Linked DNA regions of Oreochromis niloticus. The protein of the gene in region 2 purifies or fractionates together with the protein of the main gene of each other region. This does not show direct contact. Links are inferred from orthologs where the notes say so. Each region holds a gene or a part of one and is shown on either strand. Other genes may lie near its edges.

Region 1 (7,034 bases), on a different chromosome or scaffold from region 2:
CTACATAGCAAGGCTACCTCTTATAAAATTCATGACTGTTAGAGACCTAGAATATGAAATATCTGCTGGTAGAGTTGCCATTTTTATTGCCGGACGCTTTTTCCAACCTCGCCAATATCAGGTTCTTTTTGTGTGCTCATTGTCATTATTATTTTAAATCCCAGAGTGGAGAAAAAAAATACAGCCTCATATGGTAAACAACTTTTCTGGCCGTGTTGCATTGACCAGTTTAGTGTAGCTTGTCAGAGTTTGGTTTGAGATGCATGGACTTAGAGTTTTTGCACTAGTGTTCAATATTTTCCTGCAGGGAAAAATCCCACTGCAGAAAAACCCAAAAATGTCAGTTTTGCCACAGACAGCAGGCTCTGAATGAGATGTACCCACAAGACACTTGACTTAGAGCTGTTACTCCTCTTTTTAACCTGCCAGGACAAGCTCACTTTGTCAGTGTAACTGCTGCTACAGCACCTCTGTGGGTACAACGGGATAACCAACAGCTACACTAGAAATCAAGGCAGCTCTGTTTAATATGAAAACTTCTTTTTGAAATAATAGCAGCAAATAGATTCTAAACTTCATAGTGTTTAAATGTTAGAGATCTCATATTGCCTGGAATTTGATGTTGTGATTGTGTGAACAAGATATTGTAAAATAAATATATAAATAAATAAATAAAGACTCTCTTTTCTAAAAATCTAACGGGTGGCTTGATGCACCCAATCTGTGCCGAAGAACTGGGTTGGATTACCTCAGGATAATTGGAGTGAGATTACAATCAAAGTTTTAATTAGACTGCAGCTACAGTTGGTTTACTCCTGCCTGGGTGTCGATTTACGATCTGTTAATTAAGAATTAGCGCATTAGCCTTCCCTGTCTCGCTCTCCCTCTCGGAAGCACACGCTTTTATCTTGCATCTTAGCGAAGGTTTTAGTTCTGTTTCTCACACCAAGACTGTTTGAACACCCCACATTAACCCACAGAGAAAGTTGTGATTTTATCTACACCTACGTGGATGTGTACTCAAATCCACCCTTAGTTACAAAGAACAAACACAACCTTGTTTTGCTTTTCAAAGGTATTTTTAACAATCTTGAGGAACAGGTATTTTTACTTGATCTATAAAGTAATTATATTAACAGTTAGTGTAATGTAATAACTTCACATGTAACTTTTTTCAAGTCTAAGACTCAAAAGTCAAAGTCACAATGTCATAAAACCTGAATAATCCCTCTAAATTTTGGAATCAGATAAAATTACTGGCATGTTCCCAGTTCTACTCCAGTCCTGCCTGAATATATATTTATTAAATGAGTTGAGATTAAGAGTAAAGCTGACATTGTTGGACATTTTAATGAACAGCTAGTTCTGTTTTTAATACAAATGTGGCAAAGTGTCTGTGTTCTGATTTGAATGTCATCTTGCCTTTTCAAAGAACCCTTTTGTCTTTAGACCTGTTTTGACTGTGGTGACTCGCAAAGCTTTGAAATCCACTGATCCAAAAAAGGTTATCTAGACCTGACAGTCTGAATACTTATCTTTTCAAGCATGTAGCTGATTTTATTATTGAGCCTGTTATGGCTGTTTTTAATCTGAGTCCCTAGAATAATATGATAATACCTGGAAAATAATAATACCTGGAAAGCAGTCTATGTCTCTCTCGGGGCGATCGTGGCTCAAGAGTTGGGAGTTCGCCTTGTAATCGGAAGGTTGCCGGTTCGAGCCCCGGCTTGGACAGTCTTCACCCGTTGCCTACTGGTGGTGGTCAGTGGCCCGGTGGCGCCAGTGTCCGGCAGCCTCGCCTCTGTCAGTGCGCCCCAGGGTGGCTGTGGCTACAATGTAGCTTGCCATCACCAGTGTGTGAATGGGTGGATGACTGGTTGTGTGAAGCGCTTTGGGGTCCTTAGAGACTAGTAAAGCGCTATACAAATACAGGCCATGTTTGCCCCTTATTAAAATTTAAACAATTATCCCCCTGCATCCACACTTTCAATGTGGATGCAACTCTCAGTTGAAAGAATACTTGGTTGACAATAAGATTGTATGTGAAACCCAGTCTGGCCTTAGACTAGGTCATAGCAACAAATAGGTTGGTAACAAATTATATTAATATCATTAATTCCTTGGACAGGAAGCATCTGTGCCGCCTCGGTTGCTAATCGAGGCGGCACAGATGAATGGGTTATGCTAAAGGCATTGATTCTGTAGACCGAGCTGTTGTTAGGCTCAGTGATGTTGCTTTCAGCTCAGGAGCTACTTGAACCAGCCATCTGTATTAACACTATGTTTATACAGATGGATACAAGTCAAACTTTTAAAAGGAATCCCCTAAAGTTCAGTTTTAGTTTGTTTTGATAATGGCTCTGTTTAATTTTCTGTTTTTTATTAATAACATTGGGAAGCTAAAGTGGAACTTTATGCAGGTGACACAATACTTTACTCAGCTGGCTTCAGTCTGGATCAGATGGTAAACGGACTGATTCTTATATAGCACTTTTCTACTCTCTTGGAGTACTCAAAGCGCTCTGTACAACATGCCACATTCACCCAGGCACACAAGCACTTTCTTCTAAACTACAGTCATACTTTGATGGATGAATCGGAGAGCAATGTGGGGTTAATATCTTGACAGTATCCTTCAGAACAAGGATAGAGCAAGGATACTTGATATCCAGGAGTCCAGGAAACCACTAACCTTCCGATCAGTTGGTGATCTGTTCTACCTCATGAGCTACAGCCACCCACAGTTATCATTGCATCATTGCATAATGCTGCTTTCCAGAAAACACGTCCAGATCTCTCACAAAATGTTTGTTTTTATTTGCTAGGCATAGACTTTATTGAAAGAGTATCAACCAATAAATATTTAGGTATTTATGCTTTAGAGAGCACCTTGTGCATTCTTATACTCTCTTGATTATGCTCACCTTTACCTTTCACACATTTACATACATGCTGCCTTCTCTGCACTTTACATTTCATAATAATATCATTTTATAATCTGGTTTCTTGTCCCTCATTAAGCTGGTAAACAGCACTGGTATATTTGTACACCCTTTCTTATCTGTGTAAACTCCTAAAACATCAGCTACTAATTTGCACTCCTCTGTAGGATTTCTTCTGAACTTGGTAGTGCAAACTTCTCTTTTTTTGAATGTGTTAGTCTCCCTTGGAGAGTTCAGCGCTATTATAAAGTCTTCTGCATTTGAAGAGTGCAAGTGTTATTCATAAGCTGGACTCTATGTATTTATTCATTCTATTTTTATATTATGTTCCTGTTATGTTAACTTTGACCTGCTTATTTCCTCTTATGTGTACTGAGTTATAATTCATTTATAATTTGTAATTTTGCAATGGTGTACCATCTTGGACAGGCCTCCCTTGCAAAAGAGAGAATAATCTCGAGGGATTTCCTAGTTAAATAAAGGCTAAATAAAATAAATAACAGTGGTACTTGAATTAATGTGGATTGTCTTATAAATTACAAAAAGATTAAAGACTCCTAACTGCAGCCCAAATCAGAAAAAAGATTTTCATCTCATCCATTAAATACTTCTAACAAGCTCTGGTTTGTAGCTTGTTCCTGTGTTTGATTAGAAAGGCTTAAGGCTTGAAATTTCTCAAGAGATTTTGACTTTGAAAAACGTATCCATTTAAGACATGTAATGCTTATACTCAACCGTAGGGGGAGGTAGCGCTCTAAATGAGGGTGGTTGGTTGGGTACACGAAGAAAAATGAGACCAAGAATTAGAAAGCATAGAGCAGTTCGCTGTATAGAATCAAAGAAAATCAGCTTTTGGGGGTTTTAAAGACATCACGTAGAAAATATTTTCTAATTTTCGTTTCTTATGCTGTTTTTTTCTGGTGCTTGTTTTGCATGGGTGGAATCAGAGACCACCCAGTTACAGTCAAATGTATAAATGTATTGCCTATTATATATATATATTCAGAAAAGTCGCATTGCGCTATAAATACATTGCTTTTCTCATAACTGCCAAAAAAGCACTGATAATATGAAACATCAAATCATACGCGTAGGGAAAACCGTCTGTAGTAGGACTAAGTACATCAGGAGCCCCCATGCTTTCTGTCTATCTGGTGCGATTCTATCTGAGTGGACATTTTTATTGTTTTGATTAGGAAAATATTCTGGGCAGCTCCAGCTAGAGGGTGCGTTATATAAGGTTGGTTTCCACACAATGGCTTCCGTTATATCCACATAAAATATTTAGATTCCTGATGTATCAAATCACATGTCAAGGTTAAATGAAAACAAAGGCTTTCGATGACCCATCTTCATGCTAATGGCTTGCTAATGCTAGCTAGGAGCACACTTCGCAATCAGCTAAGAAGTTTAATATATTAGTGTTAGCTTGTTACTTCTGATAATTATCATTTGAATATGTCTCCCTTTTTTATGTCGATTGATTGACATTCAGCTGACACACAGCCCAAGAGTGAGGTTTGCCTGTCGCAGCTGTTGAAGTTAGCTTTGCTTAGCAAGTGTATGTTAGCATCATGTAGCAGCCAGTATAGTTCGCTATTCCTGCTGGCCAAATGGATTATTATTTATTTATTTAATTTTTAGCGATACATCAGTATAATAGCCCACATAAACATCTAGCTACATAAGTTAAATGTAAGTCTAATCACTATCTGGCCTAGCGTGTTACTGTTTAAACATACTACTTCAGGGGTTAGGCCTTTAATGGCTAAACGCTAATGGTTGATTATCACACAGAGAAGATCCCACATACACATACATAAACGTCGTAACGACTGACAGAGAGCTCCTAAACCTAACCTAACAGCATCCTGCGGTGTCTAATAATTTATAGCTGCTGCTGTGTAAAATATAGAAACATCAGTTGGCCTAGATACCTCCTTGTACCAAAGTAAAGCTGTATACTATAATAAAGGACAAAGCGCACTCTGGTATATGCCTTATGGTGATCACATACTGCTTCAATATGTCACCGTGTAAAAAGTGAAACTATTAAACCTCATATTTTATCTCACAGATTGTGATAGTGGACCATTTTATCTGGAGAAAAGAGATTTGAGTCATGCATCATGTGCTAAGGTCCAGCAGAGGGCACTGTGGCATAGCCTTTTTCTGCTACACAGAGCATCTGTTTAGTCTTTTCTGTGCTCGTTTTTACTTTTTAGTGAGTTTTTTTTTTCATAGTCAAACCCAGCGTCTTACAACCTAACCCAGAACTCCTAAAGTAACATCAAATAAGCTTCCTTGGATGACAGATGGGGGATAAGTTTGCAGAATCACTGGATTTTATTATCACTTCTTCAGGGTCTGAAAAAAAGTCTAACAAAGAAAACCCTGGCTTACCCCTCTTTTCTGGGGGGGGCTTTCCATAAGAGCTTTTTGTGGTAGACTGACTAATTCCTCTGTGACTTTTCCCACAGTATTTAATGGCAGAGGGCAGAAACCACATCCAGGCTAAAGAGGTGTATTTCCCATGTTGTCAAAGGAGAGGTCAAAGGTTAAAATGCACAATGTTGCTCCTATATTTACAGCTCAACCTGGGCTGCAGCTGCCCAAATCAGCACAGGTTTTAATTTGGTGCTATTGCCATTCATTTGGGGTTTTTTGCACCGATGCTTTGCAGTGTTTTCAAGTGGGTTAGAGACTCCAAAAATATGGCGATTCCAGTTAATCTCATTTTTTAAAGCACTGATATTTGGTGAGTGAGTGTGCTTTTATTGAGAGAGTGTTTTAGCACGTTCAGTGGTGTTCTCTTATCTCCAAGTTTAAGGCAATACTGCCACACTGCTGCTGTTAAAAATAGGCTGCGTTAGTGCTTGAGAAGTGAATGTGTTATGTTTTTCTTTTTTCATTTACTTGCTCAATTGTGATTGATAGCAGCAAGACATTTCTATTAGAGGAAATGAGGCTGGCCAAGAGACTGTTTTGCAGCCAAGCCTGGGTGGAGTTTGGACAAGAAGCCGATCAGTCTCAAAATGCTTAACCCACCTTTGGGCAGCAATCTATGGCCTAGTTTTTCACCTGACTGCCATAGATGGCACAATCTTTAGGTTAACTAAACATTGGCCTTTTGAGATCGTATATTCATGTTTTAAAAATAGTTTATTGGCCGTTTCTGCTGTGAAATGTTTTTTGTTCTAACATCTAGTGTTTCCCTCCAGATCTAATCTTCCGTCGTAAGAGTCATGGATGAGCAGACGGGCTCACCTGCAGCCAATGCTGACAACAACAGCCAGAGAAACGGAGATGAGGTAAGAGGTGAACACACAGATATCGAATGACACGTTTAAAAAAAATACATATATAAATTAATAAAAATTCCAGTTCACACTGAAAGAAAGTCTTGCCAGTACACGTCAGGGTAGAACTCCTACGTGAACCTTTAAAACATGTTTGTTTTCGTTATCTCGCAGAAACCCCGACGTGGCAGCTGGACCAAGGGGAGGAAGAGGAAGAAGCCAATGAAGGACAGCAACGCTCCCAAGGCCCCCCTGACGGGCTACGTTCGCTTCATGAACGACAGACGGGAGCAGCTACGGGCAGAGCGTCCAGACGTGCCCTTTCCAGAGATTACAAGGATGCTGGGCAACGAGTGGAGCAAGCTGCCCCCCGAGGAGAAGCAGGTCAGCAGAGAAGTTCGAGACAGGATTACACAGTGAGCCCACAGTGGCGGAGAGACATGTGTCAAACATTTCTGTTGGCATTTCTTTCCATCTGTTTTAAGATTACCTGCAAAAGGATTAAAAACAAATCTCTATGTTTTCACTCACGTCCAACTATGGAGTGCAGCTTTTGAGAAAGCAGTGGAAGAAAATAAAGAGAGCAGAAGCAAGCGATATTCATCTGGAACCTGCCAACACAGAATATCCCTTGCCAGATTTAACAATACCTCAGACCAGCAAAGCATCATGTAATTTTTCACTTTGCACAAAAACGGCTTAGGGAAAAACTTCCCTTAGAATCCATAGCAACCGTGTGTTTGGAGCTGACAAAGAAATTCTGACGGCTTCTAACAGATCGTAGCTTGATGCC
Region 2 (7,064 bases):
TGAAGTACGCATTTTGAGTGCGATTACGTCACCGCCACGCGACGACGGCTGTCCCAATACAAAGGCCGTTTCTCAATTCTCAAGTACGCGAGTACGTACTCGCGTTCTCGGTGAGTACATACTCGCCAAGAATGCACGGGAGTACGTACCCGCCGAGAACGCGAGCACGGACTCGCGATATGTACAATTGGAACACCTGCGTACGTGATGATGTCACAGGTCCGGAGTTTTTACTGCCGTCCCCTCTTAATTTAACTGTGAGTAACATGTTATGAAGCTTAACTGTAATCACAGCCAAACCGGTTTACTCAGGAACAAATAAAACACTGAAATAAACCAAACATTAACATTTAGAAGTGATCTAAGTGACTTATATATCATTTTTAACCTCAGTAGTGAAACCTCTATTAATAAAAATAGTGTACATGTACATACGTGTACATACCTTAATAAAAACAAGCAGGTGAGATGTTAGAACGCTTTTATTTCTATTTTAGTGGACACTCAATACTATAGACAGCTGCTGGGGTTTCTTTAACCTGAGTAGTGAGAAGACCGCGAGCGGGGGGGGGGGGGGGGGGGGGGGGGGGGTTGAAAACGATGTGCCGGCAGTCCGCTGTTGAGTTTTGGACGAAATGCATTCTGGGATATTTAGCTGTACCAAGTCCACACCGATGCATGCTCGATAAAATGGGCGGATCGAGAACACATCCGGGACTTTTTCGCGTTCTCAGCTTGATGCGTGCTTCGAATTGGAACAGTACTTGGTCTCCGACTGATGACGTATCACGAGTACACGAGAACGCAAGTACGCACAAGTACGCATATTGAGAAACGCCCAAAGTGTACTTCAAATGCATACTCCAAATGCACCGTCGATTTCCCCAAATATCAAGCGTGGTGCACGCTTCGTGGTCCCATATATCCCACAATTCATAGCGCGGTGGTGGGTGTGGATAATTTTGCCGCAAAATACAGCAGACGGCAGAAGGGAGCTGCCGAAGAGTGAACTGTCAAAAGTAAGTACTGAATATGATGTCATTTATGTGCGAATGTTTAATAATGAAGAACATTAAAACATTACTGTTGGCCACATGTCGGCAAAGTTATGTGACATTAGCGATGTTAGTACTTTCAGTGTTAACTTGGTTTTAAAGCCTCTACTTCAATATATATATACATACATATATAGTTGACCTTAATCTTACAGAGAATGTGATAATTTCATGGATAATTAAAGTCAGTCATATATCCACAAACACAACAAGCTGAAAGTCAGTGATGCTGCTCGGTTTGCAGTCCTGAATATGACGGCACAAGCAGGATTCACTGCACTGTTAATGTTAGCTATGTTATATTGCTGCCTCTGTTCGGTGGTGTCGAGCCAAACGGACTTTAACGTGTGTTTGAACGAGCTGACGGTTCACTCGTTAAGCTGAAAGAAAGATGCTTTAATCACAGCAGTCACACATGTGTCCACTGTAGCATCTGGGAGCTCTTCTTGTTTAGCACTCGTAATAACACAAACACTAAATCCTCCTCCTCTTGTGCTGTTTTGTAGCAGTGTGTACACCTGAGACTGTCACCTGTCTGTCTGTCCTGCACTCTCTCTCTTTTTCTTTCTCTCTGATTGTGGAATAAAAGTATGAACATGTATTTATAAGTTACACTTGTGTTTGAATCCTGCAGCTCATCACAAATTTGACTTCCATGTGTGACGACTGCAAGTGTCCAGAGTGAGGACAGACTGAGGGACCCACTGCTGCACATCATCTGTGAGGCTTTGCACCCCTGATGATCCACCATGACAAACTCAGCAGTGTGTAAGGAAGAGGAGGAGGAAGAGCCAGCAGCAGCTGACAGATGGAGAGAATAGACAGACTGTTCCCTGTTTGTGAAGGACTGCTAGAAAAGTTTAAAATAACTAATTGTCTGTCCTGAATCAGTCTTATTAGGTAATGTTCAAATAATTTTATCATTCCAGTGTTTTCAGTGTGGGAGAAAGTACTCAGGGCCTTCAAGTTACACACTATGAAAGGCAGCAACAAGTTTAATATTCAGAAACCTGAAGTATGTATCAGCAGCAGAATGGAGCTAAAAATAAATGTTTGTTTCAGTTCTATGAAGCTTTGAGTATTTTGGATTAGTAGCACTGCTGTGTTTGTTGCATCATATTGCTGTAATTGTTTATATGCTTTATATATTCTGAGGTAAGTTGATCTATAGTGTTACATCATATTCTATAAGGATGTTATGTGTTTGTATAGTTTCTGCCCAGTTTGACCCATTTAGCAGAAGGCAGCCTGTTTAAGGCTCCAACTGAGGAATCCAGTGCATATGACAATGTCATGTTGGATTGCATTTTGAAAAATGACACAAAAGTTAAACACAGTGCATTTAAATGCCTAAACTTCCATATGTGATGCGCTGGAGAGAGACCATCCTCACCTCACTTTCTCTTGGTCTCAACTTCTGAAAACTTTTTTTCTGATTTCCTTTTGTGTTTGGGGAGTGTTTTGAGGATTTTACTATACTAGTACATAAGGACTATAGGCATAAACCCTTTTTTTCTGCTTGAAAAACAGGTGCAATGAAGTGGCTGTTATACTTCTACCTGGCCTGACGATCATTATCCCACTGATTTCAATGTCAGACAAAGTACTCAACACATTCCCTTCAACACTATCAGCTGCAAACAGGCTCCATGTTCATCAAAGCAGAGCAGGAGAGAAAAGGATGAAAATGCTGATAGTGATGATGACAGTGATCACTACTGTGATATCCTCAGTATTTTGATACAAGCTGATAAAAACGGCCTCTTTCTAGCATAATTCAGGGCCATTTTTCATCAAGAAAGGACAGCTGTAATCATCCCTTTTGCTTTCCTGTCCCATCCGTCTTCCCCTTTACATGCATCAGGATCAATCTAGGTTCATTTATTTTAATCATCTCTTATTTGCGAAACTGACAAAGTCAAAAGAGGACAACAGAAACAAAGTTGATTTTGAAAATGAGTCAAAGTATACATTTATACAACTACATTCTTTTGCAGCATCGTTCACAATTTTTCATTAGAAAACATAATTTTTCATCCCCCCCCCCATCTGTTTTAAATTAAGTAAGTTAATTGTCAGCATTAGATTCTCTGTTAAATTATTTTTTATCAAAAATAAGCAAAAAAAAAAAATTCCAAACATCTGACATGAGCAATGATACAATTAAAAAACAATTAATTAACAATACATTTTGAATCCTATAACTTTAAATTAAAAATGCTTAACAATTTAAGTGTAATTTTGAATCTTTGAAAAATATATGTGGATAATTTATTTGTCCACCTTTTTCATATTGATACAGTGCACCCAACCTGATTGTTCAAACCTGAAAAGTATTGTTATTCCACCATAATGTGAGAATGTTCATAAATAGATTTTAAAATGGAATTTTAAACTTTTACCATCCCCAAGAATGTTCAGTGTAGTTGACATCAATTCCAGCTCAAATAGGTACATTTTTAGAAAAGTTCTCCATAACCATCTCTGATGTGCATAAACATTTTATCTCATTTATTTTTTTTTATAGTTAGCTTTTTACACACTAACCTTTATTTTCTCTCTATTTAACTGAGTTCTTTTGTGTTATGAAGTTTTTACCTTATGGAAATTTTGTTGTGCTACATACAAATTTCAAGCTATTGATTGGTTTTAGCTGTTGTAACAGGGATTTTCCAACTTTTGGGGAAAAAAAAGTTATGTTATTCTATTGGAAGACTAAATGAAAAATTAGTAATTATTCTTTAACAATACATAAATAGATAGAAATCCCCTAAATTGGATAGTTTATGATAAAAACTTGTATACAGTAAGTGGGGGCTGTATTAATATTTTCTACGGTTCCAAACTTAGCATTGGTTTTATAGTAGGCCTACATGCACTCTATACACAATTAATGTTATCATTAAGAAAATAAAGTTTATAAACTCAGATATTATTATTTTGATTCACTAGCTCTCACGTGACTGTCATATTGTACTACGTAACTGTCCTCATAGCAACAATATGCAACCGTCGGTACGTCACCACGGTGTTCTCCATTGTCCATATACCATGCTTCTAATAGACCTGTCGTAGTGAACGTGAAGTACAGAGTGAGTCCTTCCACGTCGTCATTTATATGTATATAAAGTCAAATTGTATTTGCCGTCTGGCACAATTAACAATTATTTGTTCCCTCGAACTGTTGCTAGTTAGCTAGCCCGGCTGTACTTTGTGACTAGTAGTGATGTTGCTGGTATGCTAAATGCTAATGCTGTTGTGTTTCACGTGCAGTTTTGCATTAACTTGGTCTGATGTTAATACATTTACTTGGATCTTACTTTTCGATGCTTTTAATTGTGTCCCTATATGTATACTAAGAGCATCACGAGCATCAGGGATTCAATCAGAACGTCATAATTTAAATACAGCTAACATGCTCAGCACGATTAGCTATGGTGCTTGACGGACCAAAATGTCTGGTAAGTGTACCTCTTAGGCTGTTTTAGACGACTATCGTAGATTCTTCATTTAAAAAGAAAAACAAACATGTATCGTTCGTGAAAACAAAACCGCAGCGGTGCTATTTGTTTGCTAACAGCGTGCTAATAGGCAAGTTGCGTAGCTAAGAGCTGTACAAATCCCAACATCAGAAAACCTAGTGTCTGCAGCTGATTAACGTCGTGTTTCGTGTGGTGTTGAAGGGAAAATAATACATAGGTTTACGTCACTATTTAAAGACGCGTTTGGGAGATAACTACCCTTTTGATACAGGATACCCGAACGTTAAGGGCTCACAAGTAATTGGACGTTTGGGTGCTGAATATTTTTTTGCAGCAGCATAGATTGACTTGCATAAAGCACAAATTGAGTTTGCTTTAAATGTCTTTAAGTTTAACTCGCTGTCAATATGAGGTGCAGTCCGCACAGGTGAACTAGACCATCATTATAAAATTGAGGCAACTTTGTATTGTCGTACACAACCTACCTATGGCACTGCAGTACCTTTGGTATTTTATAGGTATATGTTTTTTCCTATGGCTAGGAGTTTTCAACCATAAAACACCTATCCTATCCTTTCAAACATAGTTTCGTGGAGTTCTCCAAAACTCAGCAGCATGTAGGCCTGTAGGCCTGATTGATTGGCAAGTGGGATTAAACTGCTTCTCCTGTTCTGGAGTTCACCAGGAATGTGAGGGGCAAGAAAAAGATTCTGTATGAAAAGCATAGACTTGGTTGCAGAAAACAGTATAGGCCTTCACAGCCTGGAACTGTCTTACTGACAAATTGTCAGTGGCTCTCTCATTGACATTTTTCAGCCCTTTATGGACACTTAAGTCTACCCCATTTTTTTTTTCCTCTTTTTTTCCCCTCAATTCAGGGAATAACCCATAGTTCACAGTGTTCCATTGTCATACTCTACGTTGTGTTCCAGCGAAGTGCTCTATTAGGGTGATGCAGTACTGTGGGGTCTTTAAGATAAGATGGGGCCTGATTATTCAAGACCTTGTATGTGATGAGAAGAACGTTAAATTTGAACCTGGATTGTCAGACAGTCACAGACAGGCAGCCAGTAAAGATAAGCCGATATAGAGAAATATGCGCTCTCTCTTTCAAGTGCCCGTCAGTACTCTTGCTGCAGCATTTTGGATCAACTGAAGGCTTTTCAGTGAGTTTTTAGGCATTTTTTTAAAATAATAGTCCAGCTTGGAAGCAAGAAATGTATGAACTAGTTTTCCAGCATCACTCTGAGAGAGGGCGTTTCTAATTTTAGAGAGATTGTGCAGAAGAAAACAGTCCTACATATTTGTTTAATATGTGCACTGAAGGCCATATCCTGGTCAAAAACAACTCAAAGACTCCTCACAGTGCTACTGGAGGTCAAGGTAGTGGCATCCAGAGGCTAGATTCCATATTTGTAAGACTTTTTTATGGCCGAGCACAATAACCTAATTTTTAATCTAAATTTAGAAGCAGAAAATTAGAGGTCATCTACCCACCTTTGAGACATTCCTGCAGTTTAACTAAATAGTGTGTGTTATCTGTTTTGGATAGATAAAGTTGAGCATCACCTGTATAGCAACAACAATGTATTCTGTGCCTTCTAATGATACAGCCTAAGGAAAGGATGTATAATGTAAAAATAATTGGTGCTAGCTAGGGCTGCTCAATTAATCGAATTTTAATCTAGATTACGATCTGGGCTTTCAACGATCATTAAAAATGACTAAGCCGATTATTAGCACCTCCCTCGTGCTTTACTCTCGCTCTGCTCCGTGTAGCAAATCGAGCGCACCTCTCTGCGTTTCGAACACGCGTCACAACAATTAAGAGGACCCGAGGGTTGCTCGGAAAGCTCGGAAAGCTAAGCAGAAGTTATTTGTAGAGGAGAGGATAATGGCTGCTGAAGAAAGAATGCCGCTGGTTGAAAAGAGAGATAAAACGACTTCAGTGGTGTGGAAACATTATGTGTTCGCGGAGTCAGACGTGGATCAAATATTGTGCAGTATTTTGAAGTTCACTAAACATAGATGTTTACATTTTTCATTTATTTTTTATATTGCAAACATTTCCACTGTAATCATTATTTGCACACTATTTTATATTATTTTTTGACATCTTTAAAGTCATTATTCAATACATTGTTATTGTTAAATAAATATCGTCAAATAATCGAGATCTCAATTTCAGTGAAAATAATCGTGATTATCATTTTTGCCATAATCGAGCAGCCCTAGTGCTAGCACAGAACCTTATGGAACTCCATAATTAATCTTAGTGTGTGAAGAGGACTCTCCATGTTTCAAACCACTTCAGCATACCTTTAATACCTACAGCATGCTGTAATCGCAGTAATAAAACATTATGGTCAGCAGTACAGAACGCTGCACTTTACATATGGGCACATAACGACCTGCCAGCATCTCCTTTTCGTAGCCCAATTTTATTTGAAATACTATCAAATAAAATATTATCACTTTTATGCTTTGTAATGATCATTAGGCAATAAAGTAAAAACAATTTTGCATG

The links. Proteins that work in one complex are often made in the same cells at the same time.
Region 1: the proteins of phf14 (region 2) and hmg20a purify together in Homo sapiens (affinity purification with mass spectrometry; 3 studies listed by BioGRID and IntAct, counting the BioPlex papers as one, with this or other methods). This does not show direct contact. The link is inferred for Oreochromis niloticus from reciprocal best matches to the Homo sapiens genes PHF14 and HMG20A.

What each region holds. Positions count from the first base shown.
Region 1 is NC_031972.2:45,102,482-45,109,515, forward strand, and holds the start of hmg20a (high mobility group protein 20A), read left to right. Parts: upstream 1-4,028; 5' UTR 4,029-4,182; intron 4,183-6,163; 5' UTR 6,164-6,187; coding exon 6,188-6,253; intron 6,254-6,415; coding exon 6,416-6,625; intron 6,626-7,034. UniProt on the Homo sapiens protein: Plays a role in neuronal differentiation as chromatin-associated protein. Acts as inhibitor of HMG20B. Overcomes the repressive effects of the neuronal silencer REST and induces the activation of neuronal-specific genes.
Region 2 is NC_031985.2:37,420,496-37,427,559, forward strand, and holds the start of phf14 (PHD finger protein 14), read left to right. Parts: upstream 1-4,040; 5' UTR 4,041-4,147; intron 4,148-4,415; 5' UTR 4,416-4,509; coding exon 4,510-4,516; intron 4,517-7,064. UniProt on the Homo sapiens protein: Histone-binding protein. Binds preferentially to unmodified histone H3 but can also bind to a lesser extent to histone H3 trimethylated at 'Lys-9' (H3K9me3) as well as to histone H3 monomethylated at 'Lys-27' (H3K27ac) and trimethylated at 'Lys-27' (H3K27me3).